Canis lupus familiaris: one gene and its partners. The protein of the gene in region 2 interacts with the protein of the main gene of each other region in a pairwise test. Links are inferred from orthologs where the notes say so. Each region holds a gene or a part of one and is shown on either strand. Other genes may lie near its edges.

Region 1 (6,114 bases), on a different chromosome or scaffold from region 2:
ATCCTCTTGTTGGATTGATCCCTTTATCATTATGTGGTGCGCTTCTTTGTTTCCTGCTGCAGCTTTGTTTTAAAATCTATTTTGTCTGATAAAAAATATTGCTACCTCAGCTTTTTTTTACTTCCACTTGTTTGGAATATCTTTTTTAATTCCTTCACTTTCAGTTTGTATGTATCTCTAGATTTGAGTGAGTCTCTTGTAGGCAGTATATTGATGGGTCTTGTTTTTTTTATCTGTGCAGTCAACTTGCATCTTTTGATTGGAAATTTAGTTCATTCATGTTTAAAGTAATTATTGATAGGTATGTACTCACTGCCATTTTAAACATGTTTTCTGGTTGTTTCTGTAGTTCTTCTGTGTTCCTTTCTTCTCTTGCTCTCTTCTGTTGTGGTTTGATGGTTTTCTTAGTGTTGTGCTTGGATTCCTTTCTCTTTTACATTTTGTGTATCTATTACAGGTGTTTGATTTGTGGTTAGCACTAAGTTCATATATAAAATCTTGTGTGTATAGCAGTCTATTTTAAGTTGATGGTCTTTCCAGTGCTTTCTTTAGACTGTGTTTGAACTTAATTTTTACTACCCCCCCCAACCTTTTATGTACATGAGGTCATGTTTTATATCTTTTTTTGTGTATTCTTTGATTTTTGTAGATTATAGTTGATTTTACTTCTTTTGTGTTTTAACCTCCATATTGCTCTAAAAGTGGTTATCTGCCTTTTACTATATGTTTGTTTTGCCTGTGAAATTTTTTCCTTTCATAATTTTCTTACTATGGATTATGTCATTTTCTTTCCACTCAAAGAATTCCTTTAACATTTCTTGTATGGTTGGTTTAGTAGTGATGTACTCCTTGAACTTTTGTCTGGGAAACTGTCTCTCCTATTCTGAAAAATAACCTTGCTGGGTAGAGCATTCTTGGTTGCAGGTTTTTTCCTTTCAGTATTTTGAGTATCCTGCCACTCCCCCTGGCCTGCAGAATTTCTCCTGAGAAATCAGCTCATAGTGTTATGGGATTTTATTTGTCTGCAACTGTTTACTTTTTTTTTGCTGCTTTTAAAATTCTCTCTTGATGATCATTTTCATTTCAGTTATATTGTGTCATGGCATGGGCCTTCTTAGGTTAATCTGGTTAGGGGCCCTCCTTGCTTCTTGGGCTTGGATGTCTGTTTCCTTTCCCAGATTAGGGATGTCTTCAGCAATTATTTCTTCAGATGAGTTTTGTTTTCTTTTCTCCCCTTCTTCTGGGATTCCTGTAAGTACTGTTATTATGCTTGATGTCACTGAATTCCTTTAACCTATCCTCATGTTTATTATTTTCCTTTTTGCCGTTCAGTTTGAGTGCATTCCATTACCATTTTCCAATTGCTGATTCGCCAATATCAATCTTCTATCTACTAATCAACTGATATTTCCTTAGTGTATTTTTTGTTATTGAATTTTTTAATATTTTGTTTGTTGAAATGATTTTTGTTTTGTTGAAATGCTGATTTCACCCACTCTTTTCTCAAGTCTATTGAGTATCTTTATGACCATTACTTCGAATAAGGCATATTGTTTATCTCCATTTCATGTAGCTCTTTTGTTGTGATTTTGTTCTTTCATTTGGGGACATGTTCCTTTGTCTCTTCGAATAAGGCATATTGTTTATCTCCATTTCATGTAGCTCTTTTGTTGTGATTTTGTTCTTTCATTTGGGGACATGTTCCTTTGTCTCTTCATTTTGTCTCTCAGTTTGTTTCTATGTATTAGGGAAATCAGCTACATCTTGTGTGGAAGAGGTCCTGTGGTGCCCAAAAGGGTAGTCCTTGACAGGTCATCAGTACCAGGCACTCCAGAGGGGTCTCCTGTATGGGTGATGCATACCCTACTCTTGTGGCTGAGCCTCATTTGCCTTTAGCACAGTCAGCTCTTGTGACCCACTTTGCCTGCTGTGGACACAGCGGACAGTGTTTGCTCCCTGTGCTGTTGAGAGGCCTGAAGCTGCTCTGCGCTCATTGGTAGGTAGGGCCAGTTGTCAGACTAGATGTCTGCAGTTAGCTCCTCTGCCACAGGTATAGGCTCTTGTCACTCTGTCTTTTGACTGAATATTTAGATTCTCCAAAGATTTGGAGAGGCCTCTATAGCCATACCACCCTGAACCCCACCCCATCTCAGCTAATCTGACAGTAAGCAGGGTCAGGCCTAATCAGTAGTTGCTGGGAGGCCTCCTTGGAATACTAGCTGTCGTCAGTATTTAAGAGGCTGTCGTCTCTTAAAGAGCTGAGATCTCCTGAGTGCTCAGCTGCCTCTGATCCTGGGGCACGAGCTGACAGGAATGATGGACAAGTCTAGAACCTTTTATAGCAGTTTCACAGTAATTTTATATTATTTCTAATGTCTTTTTGTTTTTTATTGTATTTTTAATGGTGTTTCAGTCTGTGATTGATTGGGAGGGGAAAATACTGGTCCTTGACCACGGTCAGTTTTGAGAGCTACTGACCTAGAACACCTATGTAAAAAATGAAGTCATCTGAGCAAGCATAGACTGATTGCAGTCCAGTTGGTTGTTTATGGGGACAAAAGACAGGCAACATGGTTGTGTACACTTATGACCTGATTTGCTCCTAGGTGTTACTGGGCTTGCGTGATACCAGCGATTCCATTGTGGCAATTACTCTTCACAGCCTAGCAGTACTGGTGTCTTTACTTGGACCAGAGGTGGTTGTGGGAGGAGAAAGAACCAAGATCTTCAAACGCACTGCCCCAGGTTTTACTAAAACGGTCAACCTTTCCCCAGAAGGTAAGAATGAAAAGTACAGCTTTTTATTTTAATTAGATTTTTAACAAATAACATGGTGGGTTGTCTTCAGTCAAATGATACAGAGAATGGTAAAGAGTAATTTCCCTTTCCCAATTCCTTCTGGGTGTGTAAGGTAACCAGTTTTAATAGTTTAGTGGGACTCTTTTCTTCCCTTTTGTAAAACCCACAAAGACACACAGATGTATGTTTATACACACATGCCCATATGTAGAATTTTTTAAAAAAACAATGAGCAAATACTACGTGCAATTGTACAGCCTAATTTTCACACGTAGTGGCTTATCAGAGACTGGTTTCTAGGTCAGTACATAGTAATGACACCTTTTTTGACAGCTGCCTAATATTTCACTGAATACGATTCAGTGATTTCCCTCTTAATGGATATTGCTTTCATTTCTGGATTTTTAACCACTACATTGATGCAGCAGATGTCTTTGTACCTGTATCTTTATGTAGTTTGGCTTTTATTGCTAAAAGATAAAGTCCCAGAAGTAGACCTACTGAGTCAAATGATGTATATTTAAAATTTTAGTAGATACTGTCAGCTTCTAAAAGGGCTGTAGCACCTTATAACACTAGATATTCAAATTTTTCTGGCATTGATGGCCTTTTAAGTAAAGAGCTGTTGGTTTTTAGTTACTTCAAGAAATCCTTATTTCTGGGCTATTTCCCATTGGATGTTACATGGGACAGAGCATTACTTTCTGGTCTTTGTAGGCAGTAAAAGTCAAGAATTTTATATCAGCATTATTGCTTCTTTGGTCCTGGGTATAACCTAGAATCAGATGGTGACCTTGTGAGGAAACGCAGATCTCTGATTCAGTTGTCGTGGATAGTGTATTTGATATTATCCAAATAGTTACAGTAGAAAAGATCAGATTTTCCCCTAATTTTGATGCCAGGAGAATCTTTAAAGCAACACTGGCTTTCTGAAGTTTTGATGGGTCCATGTCTTCATGGTGCCAATGAAGTCTGTGTCCAGATTTGCAGAAGGTCATGAAGAAGCTGCTCCCTCCTCTCCTGCCAGGATATGTTCACACTGCATTGAGTGAATGAAGGCCGTGTGTTACCAGTTTTTCTCTTAGCAGAGTACAACAAACAGCAAATGAGAGATTTATTTATATTTCCTAACACAGGAACATTGAGGGGGGATGGTGGTGGTGGTATGTGCTATTTTGAGATAAGACTGTGGGAGTCCATCTCAGGGCAGCTTTGTATGTTGAATTAGCAAGAGTCCCCATTCTTCATAACTGTTTTATTTATTAGATGCAGTTTCCTAGTTCTGGACATTTTATATACTATTGACGTGTAATCTTAGAAACCAAAAAGGCACCAAAAGCAGGAGTAACAAATGAATTTTTATTAAAATAGATGTTCCTGGAGACTTTACAAAACAGATCAAGGTCTGATCCCACTGACTTCCCAAAGTAGTTAAACTCTTCATCCAAGATGGCTGTCGACCCCTGGTTGCAGCCTGCATTTCAAGTTCATGGCTAGAGTGGTCCTTCTTCTGAAGGATGAGAGAGAATGCTGGGGAGGGGGCATGGATACAGGAGGCTACCCTTAGACTTTTTCCTCCTTCTGTTCTTCTGCAGTTTCACTATATGGTCAGACTTCATATGGGATAATATTGAGGTTTATGAAAAGGGTAGTATCTTACTTACATTAGGGAAGTCAGTCTGGATGGAGGAGAGTTGGAGGAGACCCTGGGAGGCCCTCAGCAGGGAGGGTGGTGACAGAAGCAGGCAAGAGGCTACAGGGCTTGCAGAGGTCAGGCAGGGCCTCCCTGTGATGACCTACCTAGGCATAGGAAGTATTAAGCCAAAAATTTTGCTGGAATCCTTTGACCAAAGCCCACTGTTGAGTATGAATTTTCTGGCAAACTGTTAAAGACCATTTTTTTTTTGGAAACATTTTTTTCCCCCAGCTGGGAGTTAAATGTTTGTAACATAAAATTTACCATTTTAACCATTTTTACTGTACAGTTTGTGGCATTAAGTACATTCACATTGGTGTGCTTGTATTCTTAGACTTTTTTTTTTTTTTAAGTAGAATCAATTATTTTAAATTGACAAAATGTTCAGTGGCTGTTAACTTTTTTAATTAGGTATTCTAAAGGTTATATCTAATCCAACTGCTCACCCAATGCTTGAACTGTTTCAAGTCCCTTACCATCATGTAGACCTCAGCCTGCCCTGAAACACCTTGAGGACACAGGCAGGCCATTCTGTAATGAGTGTGTTTCTTCAGATATTTAAAGATTCTCTCTGCAACTTATCCTTTATCTGTGTTAAATATACCCATTTCCCCTGTTACTCACTTACCCTGACAGAGCAAGAAGCTATTTACTATCCTTTTTATTTTTGGGAGTTTTTATTTATCTTCAGATTCTCCCCCGCACGTCTTCTGTAGCCAGCAGAGTCAGACGGCGCCAATCTTGGAGAACCCCTCCTCTGGCATGTTCCCTAAATGTTTCTTTTCTGGCAGCATGCCCATCAGCAAGAAGCAGATACAGCGAGATTGCTACAATACTCTTTTACAGACAGGTAGAAATATTCAATTTATATAGTTTTTCCACTGTTACATGAATGTTATTCCTGAGTACAGAGTTATAAATTTTAAAAATTAAGGGCAGTTTGGGAATAACGAGGCTGATTTCTGTATAACTGTAGTCAGCTGGGGTGTCATCTGCTTTTCCTGGACTACAGGTTATATACCTACCATTTCTTCATAACTGGTGAGGAGAGCTAGCTGACATTATTTTGGTACTTCTGGTGCTTTAGTGCAACATTTTCCAAACTATATCAGAGGATGCTAATTCTGTTAGATGGCAGTAGGTATGCCATGAAAAAGAGAGTTGTGTGGTTAAGTAAGTTTGGGGAGATGTTAGTAGCAGAGTCCTGACACACTTATTGTGCAAGATTCCAGGACCTTGACTACATTTAAGGATATCTGATTAAAATGAGGGTATGTTAGGGTTGCCTGGGTGGCTCAGTTGGTTAAGCATCTTACTCTTGATTTCAGCTCAGGTCATGATCTCAGGGTCTTGAGATCAAGCCCCTCTGTGCTGGGCATGGAGCCTGCTTAAGATTCTCTCTTTCTCTCTTCTGCCACCCCCCCCCCCTTCTAAAAAAAATAAAAGAGATACTATGTTGGTTTAAGGCAAACTTATTTGAGCACACAACACTTTTTGGGGTTAACACTGCCTGGCTTAGAACATTTCTATATTTGTTTATAGATAATACACCAATAAACAATACGCTTGAATATTTAGTGAAGAATTGTATGCTCTAGTTAAAGTATCTGAATAACCTA
Region 2 (6,177 bases):
AATGTATAAAATCACCTTTTGCATGTTTTAAACATCATGCTGATAATATAGAGAGCAAACTTTGGAAGATGACAGATTGTGTATTCCAAGATGAAGTATTAGCATTTACAAAAGGTTTGAGGTAGAAATATTAATGAAATTTTATCTTCAAATTATTTTTCACATATAAATTGCCATTGTGCTTAGGTATTCTTAAAATAAAAGTTAAAATAAGCATTTTAACTAGCTATGATTTGATCAGAGAAACAAACCTTTTTTTTTTTTTTTAAGATTTTATTTATTTATTCATGAGAGACACAGAGAGGCAGAGACATAGGCAGAGGGAGAAGCAGGCTCCCTGTGAGGAGCTGATGTGGGACTCCATCTCAGGACCCCAGGATCCCAACCTGAGCCAAAGGCAGATGCTCAACCAAGGAGTCACCCAGGTGTCCCAAGAACCACACCCTTAAAATATTCATCTCCATCACAATTATCTTTCTCAGCTGGTTGTAAAGTACTTCCTTTCAGAGATTTTAGCTATAGTGGGTCAAAACTAAAATGAGCTAACATTTGGTTGAAAATAAGGATTAAAAATTATAAACATATAATGTGATAGACTCGTTCCTGGGTTTTTATACTAAAGAGGACTGAAAGACATCATGGAGGAGAAATAATTAACGTCAAGAGGTAAGGCTATTGATCTTCATTTTCCTTTTTTCAATAATGAAACTTAGTTTCTTTTATTTTGTGGGTTTGTTTTTTAAACCAGAGACATGGGGACTGCTGTTGTATATTTATTTCAGAGCTCCCTGGACTTGATCAAAGCAAAGCGGTCCTTCCTCTCTCTTCTATACCTTTTACAATTTTCTCTGCCTTCCTCCTGCTGATCTACAATCCCTGGAATCACTGCCATTGGCAGTGGTTGGAAAGGCCTTAATTCTTCCATTCTTAGTGGGGCCAGGGGACGGCCAGAGGCAAGCGACAACGGCAGGTGGCCCACCAGTCTTCCACCAGCCCTTCGGGTGGCACTTTATTTCACCTTAGGGACACTTAACAAGTAGTACTATCCTCTGGTGAATTTTTGCAGAATAAAAACAGAAATGGGGGATCCCTGGGTGGCGCAGCGGTTTGGCGCCTGCCTTTGGCCCAGGGCGCGATCCTGGAGCCCCGGGATCGAATCCCACGTCGGGCTCCCGGTGCATGGAGCCTGCTTCTCCCTCTGCCTGTGTCTCTGCCTCTCTCTCTCTCTCTCTCTCTGTGACTATCATAAATAAATAAAAATTAAAAAAAAAAACAACAGAAATGTTTAAGAGGTACTTTGTGAACCACCTGAATTGCTTGGTTATTTTCTTTTCCAGAAGACAGGCCCACCCTCTGAGTTCGTAGGAGAAAGTGAATCATTTCTATATCGGAGCGTGAGCGACGCCCTCGGCAGCGATGACTGACATCACTTCTCAGGACCTTGACGACAAGCTTGCCCTTCAGCTTCTACATCTCAAATTCCTGAGTCATGCTCTGTTGTTGCTGCCGCTCTAGGAGCGAATTGCGGCAAGGACCCAAACAAAATGACGTGCGCGCGCGTGGTGAAGGAGGGTCACGGTCGGAGCGCGCCAGCCCAGCGCCCAGGAGCGGGGGTGCAGACGAGGAGCAAAGGGCACAGTGCAGGCACCGGGCACTTCCGTACCGGGCCAAAGGCACCCGACGACCCCCATTCTTTCTTCTCCTAGATTCCAGATCCCAATAAGCTGGAAAGAGCTCGATTTTCGCCCCCTGTGTTTGTTTTTGGATCCAACCAAGAAACAGCGAGCAAGAGGGAATAAGATATCTTTAGAACGTATTTTTTTTTTTTTTTTTTGCATCCAAACCACTTTTAATGTCACAGCCACACAACGAAATTCGAAGTAAAAAAGTTATATGTTCGCAATACTCCCGACGCAGGAGAGTTCGGACAGAGGGAGAGGGGAGCGCGCCGAACCGGACCGACTTTCGCCCTCCCCCCCCGCCCCCCGCTGCCGTCCGAAGGCTGGGGGCGGGGCGGGGAGGCGGGACGTCATGACGTCATAATACCAACGCGCCGCCGTGTTGTTTTTGTGCTCGAGGCTCCGGGGAAAATCCGCCGGGATTTCTCCACCTGAGCGACTCCGTCTTGCGTCCGAGGGGACCCGACGTCCCTTCTGCAAGCTCTGCCAAGGCGCGTGGCGACGGGAGCTGACGTTTCTCAGGCGGTTCTGACACCTACATCGAAATTCGGCAGGGGGAGGCGAGGCGGGAGAGACGCAGCCACCCGCGAGGAAGGCAGGCCCCGGCCGGGGAATCTTAGAAACCCTGCGGTCCATCATGAAGTTCCAGTACAAGGAGGACCATCCCTTTGAATATCGGAAAAAGGAAGGAGAAAAAATCCGGAAGAAATATCCGGACAGGGTCCCTGTGAGTGTAATGGGGGGCAGGGAAGAGGAGGGGGGAAGGGGCTGAGCGCGCTTGGGGGAACCCGGGAGTCGTGGTGGCTGCCCTGAGGCACAGAAGAGGGGTGGTCTCTAGGGTTGCTGAGCCCCTGGAGAGCCGTGGAGCGCACGTCCTGATTGCGGACCCTGCACGGCCCGTCTCCCCGGGGCCGCTCTCCCCGTCATCTTTAGAGCGGAGCCTCCGTTTGAGTGACTCAGCAGTATTCAGAGGATGTGCAGGGTGAGAAGTGACCAGAACGTGGCCCTTTAGTGAGAGCAGGATCGAGATGGGACCATACATTCGCGTCCTTCAGAATCCCAGGGAAATTGTTCTGGAAATAACTTGGTGCAGTGAGGTTTGCGGCCATGGATTTCTGCCTTCGATGCGTCTCCCTGAAGTTGACTTTGGCTCTCAGAACATTGGGTTTGGGAGGGATAGATTCAGAAATCAGTGGATCCTTTCTTTTATTCCATAAGAATGAGAAAAGTGTCTTTGTTGGGGGGGGGGGGAGGGGAGGGCACGAGACAGGCCTGGCCCAGAAAACAAGGTCACGTTCTCTGCGCCACAGCCCGATTGCCTCATCATTCTTGGCTCCAGGGGCTTGTGAGGGTGCAGCCAGCCTCCCTCCTGTACTTATTCTATCAGATTGTACCTGGACACAACCATGAAGGACTGGGGCCTTTTGCTTCCGTCTTGGAAGCTGGTTTCTGTGGTTAAAATTAGTGCCGGCAGTGGGGAGAACAGAGAAACATTAAGGTAGCTTTCTGCATCCGGGCGCTTTTTTCGTCGCCCCATCCCCCGCCGCTTGCCTGTTTTTTTTTTTTTTTTTTTTTTTGTAATGTAGGCTGCGCAGCCAGATTGGAAGGCAGAAGACTTTTGAGTGTGGTGGTAGAGGGAACAACCACCGTTGGGTTTTGGAGATGGAGGAGCAGAGGCTGTCAGATTGTACTATCTTCAGGCAGGGACATTGGGATAAAGATGACGTATTATGTACAGGCAAAGTAATTGTGATTATGTGTTGTCAGTTCTTGACCTGCAGGTACTCTTTGGGACTCTTCTCCAATCCTTACCTAATTTTCATCGTGTTACAGCTACTGGAAGCAACTTGGGCCTTAATGCCTGCAGTAAAACTCCCCTGCAGTCCTTTATAAGGAAGCGAGACTTTAGGTCTGTTCCATTCCCCACGAATTGTACACAAGGGTTTTCAGCTAAAAAGGAGATCTAGCTCTATTACCCACCCAGTAAATGATCCTTCACAAATTACTTGTTTGGTATCTGGACTTTGGGTGACAGCTTCAAAAGTTTGCCCCAATTGTGGTGGTAGCAAGCCTCCTTTCGTCTAATAGTTAAAAATGACAACTAACTTTCATTGGTTGATTGTTTGCTCTATACTGACAGTATTGCATGTCCTCTGACCTTACTCAATCTTCACACCGTTATAATCCCATTCTACAGATGAAGGATCTGAAGCACAGAGAAATGACGGATTCCTAAAGGTTTCCTGTGGCTGGTGTGTGGCAGAGCCTGAGATTCCAACTCTGGTTGTTGGACCTTCCATGCCATATCGTTTCTCAATTTCTAATACAATTCTCTTAATTAAGAATTAAGGAAAATTAATCTCAGAATTAATTAAGGAGGCACTGTGTGACTCACACTGTTAGGTATTGGAAATTAAGAAAAAACATTGCAGCCCTAGAAAGGTCAGAGAAGTATGATGCCAGAAAGGTAACCCACTGAGCAAAATGACTACCATTTATTCAGAACAGTATGAGGCTCTGTTCCAGTAGCTCTGCCTAAGCCACAAACTCTGAAAGGTACCTGTTCCTAAATCTAGTTAAAATTCCCATGTATTTCTTCAAAACCGAGCCCTTGCCATTTCAGTCTCTTACATGCATTCACCCAGAGTATTTCAGCTAATCTTCCCTATTCTTTTCCTGCTCATTGTTTGGTGTTAAAAATGTTTGGCCTGTGTGATTACTTGTCAGCTCTTAGAATCATCACTCAGGTCTCATGGTTCCTTCAGTTGGGTTTTAACCAGTTTATAAGCGTTCCAGCTGCTCCTTAGGTGCTCAGCCTGTGACCTTCTTTGTGGTCGTGATGCAGGAAGAAGAGCTCTGCTCTCTGAGTTGTGAGATTTAGTTTTGGGCCAGATCCTTAATCTTGCTGTACTAAAGTGTACAGAAAAGAGGGTTAGTGTAAGTGATTTCTAAAACCCCTTCCAGCTGGGCCATTGGTATTTACCAAAGCAATCAGGTTCCCTGACTGCTCACATAACTCAGTTTTAGTTAGGCCCCTCCTTATCTCTTAGCTACCATCCAAAAGAATGGATGTGCTCCTGCCTTGAGAGGAAAGGTTTTCTTTGGATCTTAAAGTATCTGCATAGCTACAGTGTATTGAAAACCTTCAACACTGCAGGAAACTGTTAGGGACATATTGTCTATTCTTTAAAATTTGTAAAAGCCCTTGTGGAATATTGGCCGTATTGCACAGAAGAAAAAAACACGTCGAGAACCAAAGAGGAAAAGCATCTAGTCCAGGGCCTATGAGTAGAGTTGGGGTTGTTGGAAACCTAAGATATTTTCTGGTAAGCCAAGGCCTTAATGATTACCCATCCCCCTCCTGTTCATCTCCAAATCCCAACCTCCTGTCTGGATATCTTATTTGCAGTATATTTTATTGCCTCTTTTTCTGCTCTCTTTTTGTGGTTTCTGTCACTTCTTACTGATGGGAGCGGGAGGTCTCAGGGTTCCTTTGGGAAACAGTGTTAGGCTCCCTCTCTTTCCCTTTGCTTTTTTATTAACCTGATGCCTCCTGTCCATCCTCATTGTTGGGCCTTCACTGGTCTATCCCTGAACTTCTTCCTACTTTTTCTTTTAAATTTCTGATTCACGTATTTTTTTTTCTGGTTTTCACTTCTAAATTTTTAGAGGGATCATGTCCCTTCAGTCTTCCTGGTTCAGGATTCTTTTTCTCCAGAAACACAAAATAATGTTTTTTACTCCTTTTATGTGTTCCCTTTCATTTAAAAGCTTCAAGCCTCCAAGTCTCTCCTCTTAAATCGTTCCTTTTATTAAGATAATTCTTCATAATTTACAAAACATTTTCACATAAAATTTTATGGATTACTCAAAGTTACTGTAGGAGTACCATGACTGTAGAAGATATATTGGAAAGTTTCATCTTCCTATTACTCACCGGAATGCTGTAGTTCAAAGAAGTTAAATGACCTGTTGAAGATCACAAAGTTCCCTGGGATACTTGTCTAGTGTTACTTCTACTTCTGTAACTCTTCTAGATTTTCTGTGTGTTTGATCAAGAATGATTGTATTTTTTTTTTTTTTTAAGATTTTATTTATTCCTGAGAGGGGCAGAGACATAGGCAGAGGGAGAAACAGGCTTCCCACAGGGAGCCTGATGCAGGCCTTGATCCCAGGACCCTGGGATCATGAACCAAAGGTAGATGCTCAACCACTGGGTCACCCTGGTGCCCTACAAAAGATTTTAAATATTTATAATTTCAGTTAAGTTACATAAATTATAAATACTAAGTATATTTTTATAATTATTTCTTAAAGATATGTTGTTTAAATTAATATTTGAAACTTTATGCATAAAGTCTTTAATTTTTATATATCTTCTTTTTTTCTTTTTTCTTTTCATTAGAGAAATATATGATCCTTATAAAATTTGATCATAGAGGGGATCCCTGGGTGGCGCAGCGGTTTGGCGCCTGCCTTTGGCCCAGGGCGCGATCCT
Region 3 (5,850 bases), on a different chromosome or scaffold from region 2:
TTTATAATCATGAATATATTTAAAGTCTGATGTTAGAGTCTTCTATTAAAAACTTGAATGGGGGAAGGTTTAAAATGAAATTTCATGTCAATATGTTGATTTAAAATGAAGATGAGTTTATACATACTGATAAAAAATCCATTAAAAGTCTTCACACATAGTCCCTCATGAGTAAAGACTATTAACTTTATTTTAAGTCCTTTTTGATGCATTTGTTATTAACTCTTGTATTTTTTAGTCCTTTTTGATGCATTTGTAAGTGTATATACACACATACACATAAATAAATACATATACATAAATACATAAATACATAGTAGGAAGTATACCTTCCTACTTTCTACTTTTTCAGTGAAGCGAAAGTGTAAGATTGGATTATAGATTTTTAAAACAGTGTAGTTGAGGTTAAACAAAAGTTTAAACTTCACTGACTTGTTTTATAACAATTACAGCTTTGTTGATTTAGTTTACTTTAGGAAATATGTTAAGTCTTAAGGGCAGCCCCGGTGGCGTGGCACAGCGGTTTAGCACCGCCTGCAGCTCAGGGTGTGATCCTGGAGACCTGCATGGAGCCTGCCTCTCCCTCTGCCTGTCTCTGCCTCTCTCTCTCTGTGTCTCTCGTGAATAAATAAATAAATCTTAAAAAAAAAAAAAGGAAATATGTTAAGTCTTAAGAAAAAGTTTCATTCTTAAATTACTTTTAGCAAAAAACATTGGCAACTCAGTCTAAGCTAACCTTATTTTTTCCTTACTAAATGTTTTCCTCAGAGAATCCTAAATACTTATTTTCTCCCTAGAAATATATTACTGATTCATTCATTTGTCTCAGTTTTGGTAGTTGGATCTGCTAGAAGTTGGTTTCATTGATTTTTAGCTATTGTTTCTCTTAACTAGTATAACCATTGACTTGAAAAGCGATTATCATTAGTGATTTTATTAGCATCATGACATCCCCCTGAGCCCAAATTAGCTCAGACAATTCAAAGAAAGTAATAAAACTCTTCATTTATTTTAGACAGCGTTCCCAGTGTTTGTATGTAAGTGCTATCTTTTCGTTTTATTGATGGCTTTGGCATAATAGTGATAGTCAAATCCTTCTGTAAAATAGGGCTGCTGGTAATAAGCCATGGACAGGAGGATTGCTACTGGATGCACTCTCCTTGCATTGGAATCCTGGCAAAGCTCAGGTTGTGGAGAGGCTAACTGACAACTAGACTGGTACTCTACCATGGTGGCTCCCAGGCTCACCATTGATAGTCTCTTTATGAGATGTCTAATATACTGTTCCAGTAAAGCAGTACTTTAACAGAAGCAGAGAAGATACAAGAAGAAAAGTGGATATTTTCTGAAGTATTTATCTTGAAATTTTGAAAATTTGCCTTAGTGTTTCAAACAGGTCAGCAAAAGAAACGTATAAGCATGTTGTCTTCAATCTTAACAATTAAGATTTTAATAGTTAAAATATGAATAGAGACTAACTGCTGTGCTTGCCCTATAGAGACTTTATTGATTTATAAAGTAAATTAGATTCATTTGGTTAGCAAAAAGCTTGCCCAGGTTTTCCTGTCACATTATGGGGATTTTTATGATGATACAGGAGCAAGTACTATAGGGACATTGTCATAGTTTCTTATATGTAGTATACAATCAATAATTGTACTGAGTCTGTGATACTGTATAGATTTTTTGAGTAAATCCTCAGTTGTATCCTTTTTCTCAAAAGTAGAGCACAAAATATGGGAAACATTTATGTCTTGCAGATGTAGTTTTATTTCTTTTTTTTTTTTTTAAATTTTTTTTTAATTTTTATTTATTTATGATAGTCACAGAGAGAGAGAGAGAGAGAGAGAGGCAGAGACACAGGCAGAGGGAGAAGCAGGCTCCATGCACCGAGAGCCCGACGTGGGACTCGATCCCGGGTCTCCAGGATCGCGCCCTGGGCCAAAGGCAGGCGCCAAACCGCTGCGCCACCCAGGGATCCCCTGTAGTTTTATTTCTTAAAAAGATTTTGTTTATTCATGAGGGACACAGGCAGGGACATAGGCAGAGGGAGAAGCAGGCTCCATGCAGGGAGCCTGATGTGGGACTTGACTCAGGTACTCTGGGATTACACCCTGAGCCAAAGGCAGATGCATCCAACCACTTAGCCACCCAGGCATTCCATCAGTTTGTATTTTTATATATTCAATCATGTTTTTTTTAATTATTTATTTATTAGAGATAGAGAGACACACACAAACAGGCAGAGGGAGAAGCAGGCTCCATGCAGGGAGCCTGGCGTTGGTCTTAATCCCAGATCTCCAGGATCGCGCCCTGGGCGGAAGGCGGTGCAAAACCGCTAAGCTACCGGGTCTGCCCTCAATCATGTTTTTAAGGAGGAATTCCAAGTGTGTGTCTTCTCAATAATTATGGCATGCAGATGCTCTTGTAATTTGCATTTAGTTTTGTGTATTTTCTGAAGGTATAAACTTTGTGTTAGTTGGTATCATTCAACTTGTATGATTTGCTTGTTTCAGATTCACAATGACATCCTTTCAAGAAGTCCCCTTGCAGACTTCCAACTTTGCCCATGTCATCTTTCAAAATGTGGCCAAGAGTTATCTTCCTAATGCACACCTGGAATGTCATTACACCTTAACTCCATATATCCATCCACATCCAAAAGATTGGGTTGGTATATTCAAGGTAAGAACAGTTTGTTGCATGTTTCTTCCATGTAGGTATAGGTACTCTATTTTCTTTTTAAGCAGGTTGATAAGTAGCTTGTATTAGCCTTGTCTTCACTCTGCGATAAGGGTCTTTTTACATTTGTAAACTTAAATGCTTTATAAACATGAAACACCTAATAGTGCAGGGTGGTATACGATACTGGGAACTAAAGTTCACCAGTTTTGCCCGTCTCTCTGATCAAAAGGTCTGTGAAACACTTTTTGGAACCTTTCTTTCCCTTCCATTTTTTCCATTCCTTATTTGAAAAAAGGTCTTTTCCTTTGAGTTGCTTTATCATTTACTATCTCTTCAGTCATTTATAATTAATTTTATACAACTCTACAGCCGTGTTATTTTTCTATTCTACGTTGATTAATTATTGCTCATGTCATTTTATGCTTTTTTTTTTTTTTTTTTCTAAATTTTATTTATTCATGAGGCAGAAACACAGGCAGAGGAAGAAGCAGGCTTCATGCAGGGAGCCCGACATGGGACTTGATCCTGGGTCTCCAGGATCAGGCCCAGGGCTGACGACAGTGCTAAACTGCTGAGCCACCCGGGCTGCCCCATTTTATTAAGAGTATTCTGTTTTTACATGACTAAATAGTAAACTCTCTGATGACAGGAATCCCAGTTCTTACCTTTTGCTAGTCATTTTGTATAGTAGTTGCTTGAGAATTACTTTGAGGTGATCTTTATGGTGGTGCTTCTCTGTGCTAGAAATTTACTGGCAATTTCAACTCTTAAGAATGTAGTGGATAACTAAAACGTGAGGTGAGTCCTTAGGGTGCCTGGCTGGCTCAGTTGGAAGAACATGTGACTCTCGATCTTGGGTTTGTGAGTTTGAGCCCCACATTGGGTGTAGAGATTACTTAAATAAAATTAAAAAGTGTCCTTTCAACAATCAAAATGTCGTAAATGTCCAAATAATAAAACTTTTCTCCTCAGTTCCTCTAGATTCTCCCTCAGAATGAGTTTTAGATATGATTTTAAGGGTCTTGAAATTTTGATTGCATGGTGTGTATAAGTTACAACAAAGTAGAAAGAAAGAACAGCTGCCAGAATGAAACACAGGTATCTAGAAGTGAAAGTCAGCCTTTTAGAGTGAGGAGGGCCGAAAAACTATTGGACAAAGAAAGTTTTGGCATCTAATGACGTTTCATTTCTTTTTTGAATCCCTTCCTTGATTTTGATGATAGAGGAATCATTTACTATTTTTTAATCTATTTATTGTTTGAGTCAAATTCCAAAATGGGGATACATTCATTGTAAGCATTTTTATGAAGTTAGTACTGGTTTGATTTTATGTGAAGTATGGGTTATCAAGTTAAAGAAGCTGAGTGAAAATTGGTGTTTTGTATAGGAATTGGTCAGACAAAAGTAGAGCAAGGAAATAAGATTGAGGGAAAGGAGGGGCATTTCTGGCAGGAAAATGGTATAAGCAGAGCCACAGAGTTGAGAATGTTATTGAGACAAGTTAGTTTGACTAGAAAATGACCTTCATTTAGGAAAGTAGAGGGAGGTAATGTTGGAATTAAGCTTCAGACTATCTATGGAGACCTTTAGTTATAGGCTAAAATTAAAATGTAGGTTTCTATTTTGGGCAATGGGATGTCTTTGCATATGTAGGTATGTAGGCTGATGTATGATAAATTGCATTTCAAGATGAATCTTTACCTTTTTCCTTTGAAGTTTTTTTTTCCCCTCAATTTTTAGTTAATGGCCTATTGCCTAAGCCAAAAGCTAATTACTTTCCTTTCAAATCTATTCAAACACCATTTCTTTACATTTTATTGCATATGTATTTTTGTATCTGTGATATCAGTGCTCTAGTTTTATGCCCTTTCCAAAATTATTGCACTTGTTTTCCCTGTTTTCATTCTTGTCCCCCTACCTTATCTGTTCTTCAAAGTACTGTATATAAACTATATTATAAAATGAAAATCTGAACATATCTTCTTTTTGTTTCAAACTCTTAGTTTTTCATTATCTGTAGAATAACGCCAAGACCAAATAACTTTACCAGTGTGCCATATAAGGCTTCCTTTTTTTTTTTTTTAAGATTTTATTTATTTGGGAGCTTGTGAGCATGAGCTGGGGGAGAGGCAGAGGGAGAAACAAAAACGGACTCCCCATGCTGAGTAGGGAGCCTAAAGTGGGGCTTGATCACAGGATCCTGGGATTATGATCTGAGCTGCAGACAGACGCTTAACTGAGCTACCCAGGTTCCCCATATAAAGCTTCTGTATATGTAACTTCATTTTTTTTGGTCATAGCCTGCTTATTATTATTTTTTCAAAGATTTTATTTATTCATGAGAGACTGAGAGAGAGAGAGAGAGAGACAGAGACACAAGCAGAGGGAGAAGCAGGTTCCATGCAGGGAGCCCGACATGGGACTTGATCCCGGGAATTGCCTTATTTTTTACTTTGGTAATGCCAAACTCTTATCTCACGTGCACTTCAAGTGCTGTAACTTTTCTCTAAGAAATAATACTTACATAAATGAATACAGTGGTATGGAATGCGCTTGGATTATAGAATTGCCTGGATAATACTTTTAAACTTGATAGGAATTTCAGGTATGTGGTAAAAATTTCAGAATACGTGCGGGAAGTCTCAAGAAAATAAATCATGTTTAATAGAGTGGAATTGCCATGCTTATTGCATTGCACGTTTTAAAACATTTAGGTGTACTGCAAATTGCCCTCTAGGATGATTTTGATGGATACAATATTTTAGGGAAGCAAGAGAAAGTGCAGGATGGTAGCTATAAGGGGGAAGGAATGAAGGGAAAGTGTGTGTGGTATGTTTGTGAAAATGTTAAAGGAATTTGACTTGTTTGGGACAGATCATCAGTTTTAGAAGATGAATGGAAAAGCTTGGTTTGGATATTTGGCTGAGGAATGAAGTACAGCAGAGAGTAATTTTAGAAGTGAGTCTTTATCTTGGAGGGTTGAGTAAGATAAATTTAAATTGAAATTAGAAGAGAATGGAGACAGAAAATGTTTTAGACTATCCTAATTTTCTAGGTGAGATAACGCCTAAAGTAGAAAAGGGAGTCAGTTGTGGATTATAATCCATAAGTAGAATCATTGTGAATTTGTCACAATTAGTTGAATGAATTTGGACTGGAACTCAC

What was found.
Region 1: the proteins of GABARAPL1 (region 2) and SCYL3 interact in binary tests that used the Homo sapiens proteins (3 or more experiments, as listed by UniProt). The two-hybrid records come from large-scale screens. The link is inferred for Canis lupus familiaris from reciprocal best matches to the Homo sapiens genes GABARAPL1 and SCYL3.
Region 3: the proteins of GABARAPL1 (region 2) and TAX1BP1 interact in binary tests that used the Homo sapiens proteins (3 or more experiments, as listed by UniProt). The link is inferred for Canis lupus familiaris from reciprocal best matches to the Homo sapiens genes GABARAPL1 and TAX1BP1.

Annotation. Positions count from the first base shown.
Region 1 is NC_049228.1:28,710,442-28,716,555, forward strand, and holds part of SCYL3 (protein-associating with the carboxyl-terminal domain of ezrin), read left to right. Parts: intron 1-2,606; coding exon 2,607-2,778; intron 2,779-4,157; exon of another isoform or gene 4,158-4,599; intron 4,600-4,783; exon of another isoform or gene 4,784-5,186; coding exon 5,187-5,345; exon of another isoform or gene 5,346-6,114. UniProt on the Homo sapiens protein: May play a role in regulating cell adhesion/migration complexes in migrating cells.
Region 2 is NC_049248.1:10,351,499-10,357,675, forward strand, and holds the start of GABARAPL1 (gamma-aminobutyric acid receptor-associated protein-like 1), read left to right. Parts: upstream 1-2,034; 5' UTR 2,035-2,316; coding exon 2,317-2,406; intron 2,407-6,177. UniProt on the Homo sapiens protein: Ubiquitin-like modifier that increases cell-surface expression of kappa-type opioid receptor through facilitating anterograde intracellular trafficking of the receptor. Involved in formation of autophagosomal vacuoles.
Region 3 is NC_049235.1:40,947,237-40,953,086, forward strand, and holds part of TAX1BP1 (tax1-binding protein 1), read left to right. Parts: intron 1-2,516; 5' UTR 2,517-2,523; coding exon 2,524-2,685; intron 2,686-5,850.